Anolis sagrei: one gene and its partner. The protein of the gene in region 1 purifies or fractionates together with the protein of each later gene. This does not show direct contact. Links are inferred from orthologs where the notes say so. Each region holds a gene or a part of one and is shown on either strand. Other genes may lie near its edges.

Region 1 (7,993 bases):
AGCGAATAATGCGTGCAGTAAGGTGACCTTTTGTAGCTGATGATAATTTTGTCAGTGCTGATTGTGTTTAAGTGCAGGCCAAGGTCTTTAGGCACTGCACCCAGTGTGCCAATCACCACTGGGACCACCTTTACTTGTTTGTGCCAGAGTCTTTGCAGTTCAATCTTTAAATCCTCATATTGTGTCAGCTTTTCCAGTTGTTTCTCTTCAATCCTGCTGTCACCTGGGATTGCAACATCAACAATCCATACTTTGTTTTTTAACACGATTGTGAGGTCAGGAGTATTGTGCTCCAAAACTCTGTCTGTCTGAATTCGGAAGTCCCAGAGTAGCTTGACGTGTTCATTCTCTGTAACTTTTTCCGGCTTGTGATCTCACCAGTTCTTTGTCACAGGCAGATTGTATTTGTGGCACAGGTTCCAATGAATCATCTGAGCAACTGTGTTATGCCTCTGCTTGTAGTCTATTTGCACGATCTTGCAGCAGCTGAGGATGTAATCTTTTGTTTCATCTGCTTCCTTGCAGAGTCTATACTTGGGATCTGTCATTTTCAGTTCTGACTTTTTTGATGGCATTGGTTCTAATGGCTTGTTCTTGGGCTGCCAGAATCAGGACCTCCGTCTTCTTTTTCAAAGTTCCATTTGTGAGCCACAGCCATGTTTTTTCTTTGTCAATTTGGCTCTCAATTTTTCCCAGGAACTGTCCATGGAGAGCCTTCTTTCACCAGTTTTCTCTTCTGCTCTGGATTGTGTTTTTACAGTATTCACTCTTTGTCTTTTGCACTTTTGACTTCCCTTAATGTTGGTTCTTAACTGCCTTTCACATAATCTGCCAGTGCATGTTTCTCTTCTTCTACCCTTTGTTTCACTTGCAGAAGCCCTCTGCCTTCTGATTTTCTGGGTAAGTAAAGTCTGTCGACATACTATGCGGGTGTAATGAGTAGTGGATTGTCATCAGTTTTCTTGTTTTCTGTCCAGATCATCCAACTCTGCTTGTGTCCAGTTCACAATTCCAGCAATGTATCTAATGACAGGGATGGCCCAGATGTTGAGAACCTTGATCGTATTTCCGCCATTTAATTTGCTCTTCAAAACCTTTCTAACTCTTTGGATATATTCTTTGCTGACCACATTTTTCACATGCCCATGCTCGATATTATTCAACTGTAGTATGCCCAGATATTTTTAGGCTTCAGGCTGATTGTATTTTATAGTTTGTCCATTTGGTATCTGCATGCCCTTGTTGTGAGTAAGTTTCTCTATCTTTAATGCCACTGTCGCACATTTGTCTAGGCCGAACTCCATATTGATGTCAGTGCTGAAGATTCTGACTGTGTTGGTCAGTGACTGGATTTCAGTTTCATTTATTATTATTATTATTATTATTATTATTATTATTATTATTCTATCCCAGTAGTTTGTTGAGTGCCTTTCCACTTGGAAGTCTAATTTTCTAGCACTATCTCATTTCATTTGAATTTTCTTATTATAGGATTTTAATGGTAACAAACATCTGTTTTCTGCAGTTCTAAGACATGTTAGTTATGATGTCACAGTCAATGTCTCCGAGAGATGTGCCATCAATGTAACCACACACTGCTTTTGCTGCTTTTAGAGACTATTTATCTCAGTCTGTCTGTCTCACATGGAAAATCCTTTCAGTAGCACTGTGGTCATCAGCACAGGGTTTTGCCTCAGGAGTACATAACAATACCTCTGTGGAAAGATAATGCTATTGATGGAAAATGTCATCCCATTGATCAAATATTAGTTTGTGCCATTTAAATCTTACAATGTAACTGAAAGAAACTGGACCACCAATACTTCTCAGAATAACAAGGTCATCCCATAAAAACATTCAAAGTTTGTGTAGTATTCCAATCTTAATGTGTTTAATATGAAAAACAAACAGAGAGATATAGCAACATTACCCATTAATGCACAGTCAATAACTTTCATTTTGCTGTCAGCCAATGGGTCTCAAGATATTATACTGATGTCACAGTTCCTTGGTCACTGAGATTGGCCTGAGTAACTGTAATGCCTCTTTTCTAATGCTGCTAGAAAGAGAATCGACTCAAATGCTGGCTTCTGGCTAAAAAAGAACACACACACCATCATGATGGGCGAAGTACCAGGGCAGCAGGAGATCTTTGATTCACTGTTCAGCATTGTAACTAGGTAATATGAGGATAGTTCCATCTTATTTTTAAAGATGCTACTTGGTCACTGTAACAGTATTGAAAGGATTTTTAGCACATTGGATAATGGGTTTTGGCTGCTGCTGTTGTGTACCTTTGAGTTTATTTCTGATTTATAGTGACTTACAAGTGTCTTCTTAGCAAGGGGTTTGCTTCTACCTTCTTCTGAGGCTGTGAGAGTGTGACTTGCGCAAGTTCACCTACTGGGTTTCCGTGGCTAAGCAGCGAGCCCAATGCTCAAACCTTCACTGGAACAAGGTCTGGTTACCATAGAAGGGGTTTTAGGCTGCCAAATGATTCATTTAACAGCTTTATATGGGTCTATAACAGGCATCCTCAAGCTGCAGTCCTCCAGCTGTTTGGGCCTCCAACTCCCAGAATTCCTGACCATTGAACAAACAAACTAGTCCAGTGTGGGCTAGGCAAAACTACGGTGAGGTAGATCTGCTATTGGTTAAGCGAACGAACCCAGAGGGTGCTCACCAATGCTTCCTCTTCATCCTGGAAAGAAGTGATGAGTGGAGTGCTGTAGGTTCCATCCTGGGCCCGGTCCTGTTCAACATCTTTATTAATGATTTAGATGAAGGGTTAGAAGGCATGATCATCAAGTTTGCAGACAACACCAAATTGGGACGGATAGTCAATACTCCAGAAAACTGGAGCAGAATTCAAAAAGATCTGAACAGATTAGAGAGATGGGCCAAAACCAACAAAATGAAGTTCAATAGTGACAAATGCAAGATACTCCACTTACGCAGAAAAAATGAAATGCAAAGATACACGCTGTGGGACGCATGCCTTGAGAGCAGTACGTGTGAAAAAGATCTTGGAGTCTTTATGGACAAGTTAAACATGAGCCAACAATGTGATGTGGCGGCAAAAAAAGCCAATGGGATTTTGGCCTGCATCAATAGGAGCATAGTGTCTAAATCCAGGGAAGTCAGGCTACTCCCCTATTCTGCCTTGGTTAGACCACACCTGGAATATTGTGTCCAATTCTGGCCACCACAATTGGAGAGAGATATTGACAAGCTGGAATGTGTCCAGAGGAGGGCGACTAAAATGATCAAGGGTCTGGAGAACAAGCCCTATGAGGAATGGCTTAAAGAGCTGGCCATGTTTTGCCTGAAGAAGAGAAGGTTGAGAGGAGACATGATAGCCATGTACAAGGTGAGGCAGCATAACTTCCTTTATTAAAATGTGCGCCATTCAGTCGGTTGAAGACGTAGCGGAGCGCTAGTGGTCTAGTTCGAGAGGCAGGAGTATAAAGTTTTTTCCTGACACAGTTCAGTCGCCATCATGCGTTGGAACAGTGAGGAGCGTGCTTTTGCCGTTGAGGCCTACTTTTCGAGCGGATTTGGAGTGGCCGGCCCGCTCTCCAGATTTGGCCCCTTGTGATTTTTTATGGGTTTTTTTGAAATCCCGTGTTTATGTCAAACATCAAAGAACCCTACAAGATTTGAAGACCAACATCCAGGAAGAAATTGCCAACATAACGCCTGCTATGCTGGAAAGAGTCATGACAAATGCCAGAAATCAGTTTATTTATTTATTTATTTATTTACTATTCTTGTATACCGCTATATATCAAGCCCGAGGGCGACTCACAGCGGTTTCCAGACAGCAAATAGCAAGACAATAAAAACAGCAATAATTAATATGCAAAAACAGTTAAATTACACATTTCCATTACTAACTAATAAACAATCATCAATACACAGTTATCACAAATCCCATCCCCGATCGCCTCATCATCCAAGCATGATCCAAATTCGTCGTCCATTTTCGTGATCCAAATTCGTCGTCTCACAGTCAGAACTTCCTGACTGTGAGAGCCGTTCAGCAGTGGAACTCTCTGCCCCGGAGTGTGGTGGAGGCTCCTTCTTTGGAGGCTTTTAAGCAGAGGCTGGATGGCCATTTGTCAGGGGTGATTTGAATGCAATATTCCTGCTTCTTGGCGGGGGGTTGGACTGGATGGCCCATGAGGTCTCTTCCAACTCTTTGATTCTATGATTCTATGATTGTTTACTCAGTGTATGGAGAATGGGGGACATCACCTACCTAATTTGATCTTCAAAACTATGTAAAACAAAACTTTAGATATGCGCCTACATTATATAAAAAAATTCTGATTCATACAATGGGATTTATTAAGTTTTGAAAAAAGGAAGTTATGCTGCCTCACCCTGTATGTGAGAGGAAGTCACAGGGAGAAGGGAGCAAGCTTGTTTTCTGCTTCCCTGGAGACTAAAACGCGGAACAATGACTTCAAACTACAAGAAAAGAGATTCCATCTGAACATGAGGAACAACTTCCTAACTGTGAGAGCTGTTCAGCAGTGGAACTCTTTGCTCTGGAGTGTGGTGGAGGCTCCTTCTTTGGAAGCTTTTAAACAGAGGCTGGATGGCCATCTGTCGGGGGTGCTTTGAATGCAATTTTTCTGCTTCTTGGCAGGGGGTTGGACTGGATGGCCCATGAGGCCTCTTCCAACTCTATATTTCTATAGAGGCCTAAATAGCTGGAGGGCCAGAGTTTAGGAGTGTCTGGTCTACACTGAGGATATAATTGCAGATGTGTATCTCCAGTCTAAGCAATGTGGTCCTGTTGAATGCAAAACTACTTCTTCCCTGACAAGGCTCAATGAAGTTCAAGAGCCTCAACAGAGTCGCCTCACAAAAGAGAGAGAGCAGCACACTGGTCTGATTTCATTCATGTCGCACGCGCCTGCGCAAAGCAAGGCGCTGATTCGTCCCCTCAGCCCTCGCGCTCATCTCTGCGCCTGCGCCTGAGGTGACGGCCGGCGCTTGCGCAACGCGTGCACACTATTCCTTTTCGCCTTGGCAACAGGGCTGTCTGTCGCCTCGCTTCCCACAGCCGCTGAGCCTCAGTGTTGCTTCTGGCGCGATGCAAGGGGAGGACGCGCGGTACCTCAAAAGGTAACGTCTCCCCTCAGCAAAGGGAAAAGGAGGGGAGGGTGGCCCATTGAATGGGAGAGGGCTTCGAGGCCGGGCCTGGAGGGCGGGGGGGGGGGGGTGCCCTGCCTGTCGCCTCAAAGCGAGAGGGCGGCCTCTGGCTGGATATGAATAGGCTCTATGTGTAGGGAGTGTACTATCTAATTGTGTCATCTCTCTGGCCCTGCAGCATTCTGGGAATCGTAGTTTAGGGCGGGGCCTTTGGCATTCTCAACTACACAGGTCCTCCTTTCCCAAACTACATTTCCCAGGATTCTGCAGGCGGCAGAACAGACAAGCATCCCGAGCTCTGAGGATTACCTGGGAAGGAATCCCACTGGAGCATTGCAACACACCCAAATACCTGGGAGTCACTTTGGACCGTGCTCTGACCTACAAGAAGCACTGCCTGAACATCAGCAAAAAGTGGCGCTAGAAACAACATCATACAAAAGCTGACTGGCACAACCTGGGGATCACAACCAGACACAGTGAAGACATCTGCCCTTGCGCTATGCTACTCTACTGCTGAGTACGCATGTCCAGTGTGGAACACATCTCACCACGTTAAAACAGTGGATGTGGCTCTTAATGAGACATGCCGCATTATCACGGGGTGTCTGCGCCCTACACCACTAGAGAAATTACACTGCTTAGCCGGTATTGCACCACCTGACATCTGCCGGGAAGTAGCAGCCAATAGTGAAAGGACCAAGGCAGAGACATGTACAGCTCATCCCTTGTTTGGGTATCAGCCAGCACGTCAACGACTTAAATCAAGACATAATGTTCTTAGATCTACAGAGACACTCGCTGGAACACCTCAGCAAGCGAGAGTCCAAAAGTGGCAGGCCCAAACCCAGCACCTCAATCCATGGGTGATACCAGATGAGAGACTCCCCCCTGGGCATACAGAAGACTGGACGACTTGGAATGCGCTGAACAGACTGCACTCTGGCACCACGAGATGCAGAGCCAATCTTAAGAAATGGGGCTACAGGGTGGAATCCACGGCATGCGAGTGCAGAGAAGAGCAAACCACTGACCACCTGCTGCAATGCAATCTGAGCCCTGCCACATGCACAATGGAGGACCTTCTTGCGGCAACACCAGAGGCACTCCAAGTGGCCAGATACTGGTCAAAGGACATTTAACCAACTACCAAGTTTGCAAAATCTGTGGGGTTTTTTGTTGTTTTTTTTTAATCTGTGTGTTTGTTTTCTGTTAGAAATGTAATACAATGGTATGGTTTATTTATTATTTATTTATTTATTTATTACTTGCACTTATTGACCGCCACTCTCAGCCCTAGGGCGACTCGTGGCGGTGAACAGCAACATAGAAAAGACAGTGTACAATAAATCACGACAATACATACAAACTACTACTACATAACATATACTTATGCTAAAAATCCGCTTCGGTTGCTGATGACACGATAAATAAATGCAGGCGGCAGGAGACTCCCAACTTGTAAGGTTGCCTGCTTTAAAGCCCCAGTGTGAGAACTGGTATTAGAACCCAATTCAATGACAGAGCTCCATAGGGCTACCCAATGTCTTGCATGTTAATGGTGTTCAGAAGTAGTATTGGAGGGGATTGATCAGTCATGGGCAGACTTGGGCCTTCCAAGTGTTTTGGTCTTCAACTCCCACAATTCCAAACTGTTAGTAATTATAGACATTGAAGTCCAAAACACCTGGAGGGCAAAAGTTTGCCCATGCCTCCCATCATTTTTATTTATTTATTTAATTAATTAATTGACACAATCTCATATATAAACAGAAAATATACGTTCAGAAACAATGAAACATGTCTAGATCTGTATGTAGGCGGCAACTTGTACAAAGTAAGTATAACATTAGGTTCTTGTGGGTTTTTTCGGGCTATAGGGCCATGTTCTAGAGGCATTTCTCCTGACGTTTCGCCTGCATCTATGGCAAGCATCCTCAGAGGTAGTGAGGTACCTCTGAGGATGCTTGCCATAGATGCAGGCGAAACGTCAGGAGAAATGCCTCTAGAACATGGCCCTATAGCCCGAAAAAACCCACAAGAACCTAGTGATTCCAGCCATGAAAGCCTTCGATAATACATTAAGTATAACATATTATACCATTCACTCGAGTTTAAGTCACTTTTAAAGGAAAATCCATGTAAACTATTCCTAACTACTAGAACTGTTTCCATCTAGCTAACAGCAATAGTGCCATCAGCTATCCCCCCCCCTTCATATCCAAATAAAATAAAATAAAAATGCCAATGTATTTTTTTTGGAGATTCCTTACAAGGCAAGAAATATATCTTCATGATCAAGATGCTTTCAGAGTATGTCCAAATACATCTTGATATTACATCAATAAAAAAGAAAACAAGAATGGGAGCAGGCAACAAAGTACTCTCTTATGACTAGAGCTTTCTGAGTCTTTTACATACACAGGTACAGACACTTGCAAAAACCCAATTTGTATAAATTCCCATGCCTTCCATCAGGCGTGTCCAAACTTTTTAAGCCAGGGCCAGTTCACTGTCCTTTGTTGTTGTTCATTCATTCAGTCTTTTCCGACCCTTCGTGACTTCATGGACCAGTCCACGCCAGAGCTCCATGTCAGTCGCCACCACCCCTAGGTCTTTCAAGGTCAATCCAGTCACTTCAAGGATCCCATCCATCCATCTTGCCCTTGGTTGGCCCCTCTTCCTTTTTCCTTCCATTTTCCCCAGCATCACTGTCTTCTCTAAGCTTTCCTTTCTTCTCATGATGTGGCCAAAGTACTTCATCTTGGCCTCCATATGAAGACTCAAAGCGGCTCACAACCAAAAACATTACAACTTAAAATATACAGTA
Region 2 (7,228 bases), on another chromosome or scaffold:
GCACATAGACCTCTCATGACCCACTTTACGTCCTGGTGCAACTTGGAGGAAGATGCACCATGGACGATGGGACTTGCAATACCTGCACTCCCTTCCTAAAACCATTATAACTGCCAACAATGATGGATCAGGACCACAATTTACACAGAGAGCCCACATAACCCACTCTACATCCTGGTGTGGTTTGGAAGAATTTGACAATGGATGATGGGACTTGCAGTCACTTCACTCACTTCCTGAGACCACTGAGACCCTTGCCAATGACTGATCAAGACCAAACTTGGCACACAGAGTCCCCATGACCCACTCTCCATCCTGGTGTACTTTCGAGGAGGACAGACCATGGATGATAGGACTTCAAGTACCTCCACTCTCTTCCCAAGACTGCTGCAACCCTCATCTAATGTCCGAACAAAACCAAACTTGGCACACAGAGCTCCCATGACCCACTCTACATCCTACTGTGTTTTGGAGTAGGGCATACCATGGATGATGGGACTTGAAGTACCTCTACTCGCTTTCCGAGACTGCTGCGACCCTCAACAATGACTGAACAACACCAAACTTGGCACATAGACCTCTCATTACCCACTTTACGCCATGGTGTGGTTTGACTGTGGATCGAGCATGGATTATGGGACTTGCAGTCTCTTCGCTCAATTCCTGAGACCACTGCAACCATAATCCAATTTCCGATAAGGATCAAACTTGGCACACCGGGTCTCCATGATGCACTCTACATCCTGGTGTGGTTTGGAGGATGATGCACCATGTACGGTGGGACTTGCAATTCCTTCGCTCACTTAGTGAAACTACTGAGACCCTCATCCAATGACTGATGAAGACCAAACTTGGCACACAGAACCCCCATGGCCAACTCAACATTCTGGTGAGGTTTGGGGAGAACAGACTATGGATGATGGGATTTCAAGTACCTCCACTCACTTCCCAAGACTGCTGCAACCCTCATCTAATGACCAATCAAGACCAAACTTGGCACACAGAGCCCCCATGAGAGACTCTACATCCTGGTGCTGTTTGGAGGAGGATGGATAATGGATGATGGGACTTGCAGTACCTTCACTCACTTCCTGAAACCACCGTGACATTCATCCAAATACCAATAAAGACCAAACTTGGCACAGAGAGCCCCCATGGCCAACTCAACATTCTGGTGATGTAGAGTGAGACTATGGATGATGGGACTTGCAGTACCTTAACTCATTTTCTGAGACTGCTGTGACCCTCATCCAATGACTGGTCAAGACCAAACTTAGCACACAGAGCCTCCATGACCCTCTCTCCATCCTGGTGCAGTTTGGAGGATGATGGACCACAGACGATAGGACTCACAGTACCTTCACTAACTTCCTGAGACCACTGCGAGCCATATAAATAACTGATAAAGACCAACCTTGATATACAATTCCTTTCTCTAATCCAAAAACAAACAATACCCTTTTAAAATAACCCGGGCAGCGCCGGGTACCCAAGCTAGTTTTATTAATAAAAGTCATACATTCTCTATGTCATTCATCTAGGGAAGACATGTGTAGCCTGCTGAACCTACTGTCCCAATGAATGGATGGTGGCAAGGTCCTTGATCAGCATCTTTATACTAAATTCTCTCTTAAGGAGGGAAAACTCAACTGCAGCCTGTTGTCTCTGGTATTCATTGGTAATCTCCCATCCAAGTACCATTAGCGGCTGACTTCCAGGATCAGTGTTTGGAGCCCTTAGGTAGCATGGATTTGATCTTAACTGGTTGGGCAATTGCACAGAGAATAGGGCCAGATTCTCACCCTCATGACACCCTGGAGGGCCACACTCACATGTCCAGACATGTTTGGTCACTTCTGGTCTCAACTGATACAGGGAGATGGTTCGGGGAGGAGGGGTAAGCTTCTGTTTGTGAGCAGTTTCTTTCAGTTTGGCAGCTTTGGGGGCCCTTGGGGATGCTAAAAGACTTGCAGCCTGCCCTGCCTTCATTTAATGCAGAGCTTTGCAACCCTAAATCTGTCTCCCTTGAAATATGTTCCATTGAAATAGATAGCAGGTAGTTCTCAGTAACTGTGCTTACAGCTGTAATGTAAAAGAACAAATGTAATATCTATATAAATAAAAATGTAATGTTTGTTTGTGGGATTAGCACAATAAAATAATAATAATAATAATAATAATAATAATGCTTTATTTATACCCCGCTACATGTCCCCCAGGGGGACTGGGTGCGGCTTACATGAGGCCATGGCCATCAATACAATACAAGCTATAACACAAACACAATAAAACAAGCAAAATACATAACTCAAAACCACAGAACGAATTGACACCAAATTTGGACACAAGACACCTATCAGGCCAACTAGTGACCATCACTCATGAAAACACTGAAAAACACAGCGGAAGAGACTTAAAAATAAAAAAAATTACATTACAACGCATGCGCAAAACCACATATATACACATATACACATACATACACACACAAAACTCATATACACAGACAGGGCCACAGCAACACATGGCAGGGGATGGCTAGGATATAAATAAAAATGTAATGTTTGTTTGTGGGATTAACATAACTCAAAAACCACTAGACGAATTGACACCAAATTTGGACACAATACACGTATCAGGCCAACACTCATGAAAACACTGAAAAACACAAAAAGCCAAAAAATAAAAAATACAACACATTTGCAAAACCACACACACACACATATGCAAACACATATATACACATATACACAAAAATATACACACATAAAACACATACACACAGACTGGGCCACAGCAACGTGTGGCGGGGGGTGGCTAGTGTGTGTGTGTGTGTGTGTGTGTGTGTAGTACATACTAGCTGTCATCTAATCACCTAATCATACTGGCAATCTAAGAGCCCAATCTTGACTAGGCAGTATTTTTGTATGCCGTTATAGCCAGTGACAGAAAAATATAGTCCAGTTCTATGTGTTCAGAAATGCATTTCACTGACTCTGAAGGGCCCATGAAGTAGGTACAGAATTGCAGCTGAAGTTTGTCAAAACCATGGGACATGCAATTTGTTAAATCTGAATCCATTCAGTAGCAGCAAAGTGTTGCTGCGATTCTTTCCGAACACAGCTAGCCATGCACCCTCAGTTTGTCCCCTTTGTTTTTTTTAATCTGTATTTACTACATCATCAGTATTTTCATTCTTTTATTTTCATGTTATTATTAAAATCAAGAGTGAAAATGAAAAATAATTTATAAAAAAGTGTATGCATTAACTAACACCACTAACAAAATATTCACATCACGTGAAGAGGCTGATGGATAGATGCCAAAACGTCAGCATTCTCTCCTGACATTTTGCCCACATCTATGGCAGGCATCCTCAGAGGTTGTGAGGTCTGCTGGAAACTAGGCAAGTGAGGTTTACATATCTTTGGAATGTTCCCAGTGGGAGAAAGGACTCTTGTCTGCTGGAGGAAAATTTGAATGTTGCAATTGGCCACCTTAATTAACACTGAATGGCCTTGCAGCTTCAAAACCTGGCTGCTTCCTGCCTAGGGGAATCATTTGTTGAATCTGTTGGGAAGGACTGAGAGCGGGCAATGCTGGAAGTGAATGGGGATCGGCTGCCTCTCCGAGGGCTTTTTAAAAGGCAGCTGCGATGTGGCAGTTACACATATAGAATTAATGCAGTTTGACCCCACTTTAACGGTTATGGCTCAAAGCAATGGAATAATAGGAGTTGTAGTTTTACCAGCAGGTCTTTTGCCTTCTTCCTCATAAACTACATCTCCCATCATTCCATAGCATTGAATCAAAGGAGGTGTCAAATTGGATTAATTCCACTGTGGAGATCAGGCATGGGCAAGCTTGGGCCCTCCAGGTGTTTTGGACTTCAGCTCCCACAATTCCTAACAGCCGGTGTAAATCCAGTGTAGTTGCCGTGGCTTCTAGGGAGTGTTTACTTCATGCCACTCCTGCATCCCTTTCTAATCCAATTACTCGCTTAGCAACACATGATGTCGCTTCGCTTCCCCATTTAAAACCAACCGCCCAGCCACGCCCCTCCCGCCGCTCCTCCCGCCCACCAGGCCCAAACCAATATTTCCATTGGCGGTTCCAATCCTAACCTTTGGCCAATAGCAGCGGGGGAGCTGGCTCGAGGCGTTGCGTATTGGCTGAGACTCCTCTGCATGACGCAGGCGGGGCGTGGCGTGAGGGGCTGTCATTCATTCCTTCCGCGCAGGCGCGCTGGGCCCGGTTATTGTCAGTGGTACCGCCGGTGACCGGGTCTCCCTCGCCTCTGGTCCTTCGGGGCGGCCTTCTGTGGTGGTGCCGCCTTCGCCATCTTGGCCCAGCGCAGGCACGATGCCGGTGAGTCGGCAGCAGCCTCTGCCCGTGGCTGGCCTTCCTTCCCGCAGGGCCCTGCGCTTCTCGGGCTTGTTGTTGCTAGGGGCGGGGTGGGAGGCAGGCCAAGGGCGGGGGAGGCATAGGAAGAAGGCCCCTCGGCCTCTGCCCAAGGAGGGAGGGAGGGATGGGCTGCAATAGAGGCCTTCTCCTCTCTCAAGGGGTTTCACGTCGCCCTTCATGGCCGTGAGAGCCAAAACTGCCCCTCCCTCTCAGAGAATGCTCCCTTGAATGGCAGCCATAGGGATGCTCTGAAGACAGGGACAGGACAACTTCATCCTCATCAGCACACAGACCAACCCAAACCCATTTTAATCGTGGTCTCTTGGTTTTTTGGCCTGCTATTGTGTGGCTCACTGGTTCAGACAATTGCATTAGATCAAGCATGGGCAAACTTGGGCCCTCTGGGTGTTTTCGACTTCACCTCCCACTATTCCTAACAGCCCCAGCCCTCTTCGGATAGATTACTGCAACGCACTCTACGTGGGGTTGCCCTTGAAGACTGTTCAGAAACTTCAATTAGTCCAGCGGGAGGCAGTCAGATTGCTTACCGGAGCGTCATACAGAGAGCATACCACCCCCCACCCCCCGTTGTGTCAGCTCCACTGGCTGCCAATCCAGTTCCGAGCACAATTCAAAGTGTTGGTTTTGACCTACAAAACCCTATACGGTTCCGGCCCAGCGTATCTGTCCGAACGCATCTCCCTCTACGTCCCACCTCGGAGTCTGAGATCCTCTGGGGGGCCCCTGCTCTCGGCCCCGCCTCTGTCACAAGTGACAGAGGAGCAGGGCCTTCTCAGTGGTGGCTCCTCACCTATGGAATTCACTCCCCAGGGAAATTAGATCAGCAACATCCCTCCTTTCCTTCAGAAAGAAATTAAAAACATGGATGTGGGACTAGGCGTTTGGGCAATCTGGCAGATGAATACAGGACTGTGACGACGGATAGGAATAGACAATGTGGAACGAAGTATAGACTCTGAGTTGGCGAACGCTGTGCTTGAGATTGGCTATCGACTGTGAAATATATTGTTGTTTTAATTGTTTTAATTGTTAACCATTTAATTGCTGTTTTTATATGTTGTTGTATTTGTGTAGGCACCAAATTATGCCATTTTGTAAGCCGCCCTGAGTCCCCCCTTGGGGCCTGAGAAGGGTGGGGCAGAAGTATACGAAATAAATGAATAAATAAATAAAAAGGGGCCTGAGGCTGCTAGGAATTAGCTTGGGGGTCCCCCTGAACTCAACACTATCGCTTGATGCTCAGGTGTCAGCGGTGGCCAGGAGGGCCTTTGCACAACTCAAACTTGTGCGCCAGCTGCGATCATACCTCGTGAAGTCTGACTTGGCCAGGGTGGTCCACACCTTGGTTACATCCAAACTGGACTACTGCAATGCGCTCTACGTGAGGCTGCCCTTGAAGACGGCCCAGAAGTTTGATCTGGTACAGCAGGCGGCAGCCAGGCTCCTTACTGGATCAAACTATAGGGAGCATACAACACCCCTATTAAAACAGCTTCATTGGCTGCTGATAAGTTGCTGAGCCAAATTCAAGGTGCAGGTCATGACCTATAAAACCCTAAACGGTTTGGGCCCCACCTATCTCTGCAATCGCATCTCCTTCTATGAACCGGCGCGAGCTCTAAGATTTATTTATTTATTTTGATTACTTCTACCCCGCCCTTCTCACCTCGAAGGGGACTCAGGGCAGCTTACAAAGGCACAATTCGATGCTGGCATCACATAACAGTAGTATAAAACAACATAGCAGCAATTAACAGTTAGCAGTAGTTTCTGCATTACAACAATAAAACCAATAAAAACCACTTACACCTAATTAACGGTCAGCGTTCTCATCTCATAGTCCAATTTCCAATTCCACTTTGTCAGTCCTAGTCATCTGATTGTCCTTATCTAGTTGTCAGATTGCCCAAAGGCCTGGTCCCACAACCACGTCTTTAATTTCCTCCTGAAGGAGAGAAGGGATGTTGATGACCTAATTTTCCCCGGAGTGAGTTCCACAGGTGAGGGGCCACCACTGAGAAGGCCATCCACATTTGCTGGGTTTGGGGTTGCAGGACTCCTGAAAAAGTGGGGAAAACACAAATAAAAAGCACATTTTTAAAACCTAAAAGAACACATCTCTAGGAGTCTCTAGGCAGAAGTTAACTATAAAGTCACTCTGAAGAACCTAGAGATTCCTAAACAGACCATATTAATGAAATATGTGAATAATCAAATCTACAAAAGTTAAAACCATATATGTGGAGGGCTAACTGTATAGCCTGGAGCAGGGGTACTTAAACTTTTATGCTTGGGACCCTTTTTGGCATGAGATTTTTTATACACACAGTTCTTGTGGGTTTTTTTCGGGCTATATGGCCATGTTCTAGAGGCATTTCTCCTGACGTTTCGCCTGCATCTATGGCAAGCATCCTCAGAGGTGAGGTCTGCTGGAACTGGGAAAAAAGGGGTTTATATATCTGTGGAATGACCAGGGTGAGACAAAGATTTTTTATACATATATAAGTATATAAAATAGGTATAAAAATGACACATTTACTGATAAACAAATAAGTATTTGTAAGACTTACTAAACTGATTCATTTTCCTTTGCATGAAATATAGCTGAAGCATCTTTTGTGGAGTCCACTGCAAATGCTGCACAACAGATTTGTGTAAATGTCTAAAGCAGCCACTAAGTGATATTCAGAATTTTTTAAAACCCCAACATTGAGCTAAAAGCAGACACATATTGAGTCATTTGTATCTTTCTTGGGAAGAAACATCCTTTCTTGCTTTTAGACTGCAACAGAGTATCCTGCAA

What was found.
Region 2: the proteins of KIFAP3 (region 1) and KIF3A purify together in Homo sapiens (co-immunoprecipitation; 9 studies listed by BioGRID and IntAct, counting the BioPlex papers as one, with this or other methods). This does not show direct contact. The link is inferred for Anolis sagrei from reciprocal best matches to the Homo sapiens genes KIFAP3 and KIF3A.

The regions. Positions count from the first base shown.
Region 1 is NC_090024.1:130,829,028-130,837,020, reverse strand, and holds the start of KIFAP3 (kinesin-associated protein 3), read left to right. Parts: upstream 1-4,971; 5' UTR 4,972-5,104; coding exon 5,105-5,136; intron 5,137-7,993. UniProt on the Homo sapiens protein: Involved in tethering the chromosomes to the spindle pole and in chromosome movement. Binds to the tail domain of the KIF3A/KIF3B heterodimer to form a heterotrimeric KIF3 complex and may regulate the membrane binding of this complex.
Region 2 is NC_090022.1:94,864,710-94,871,937, reverse strand, and holds the start of KIF3A (kinesin-like protein KIF3A), read left to right. Parts: upstream 1-4,227; 5' UTR 4,228-4,362; coding exon 4,363-4,368; intron 4,369-7,228. UniProt on the Homo sapiens protein: Microtubule-based anterograde translocator for membranous organelles. Plus end-directed microtubule sliding activity in vitro. Plays a role in primary cilia formation. Plays a role in centriole cohesion and subdistal appendage organization and function.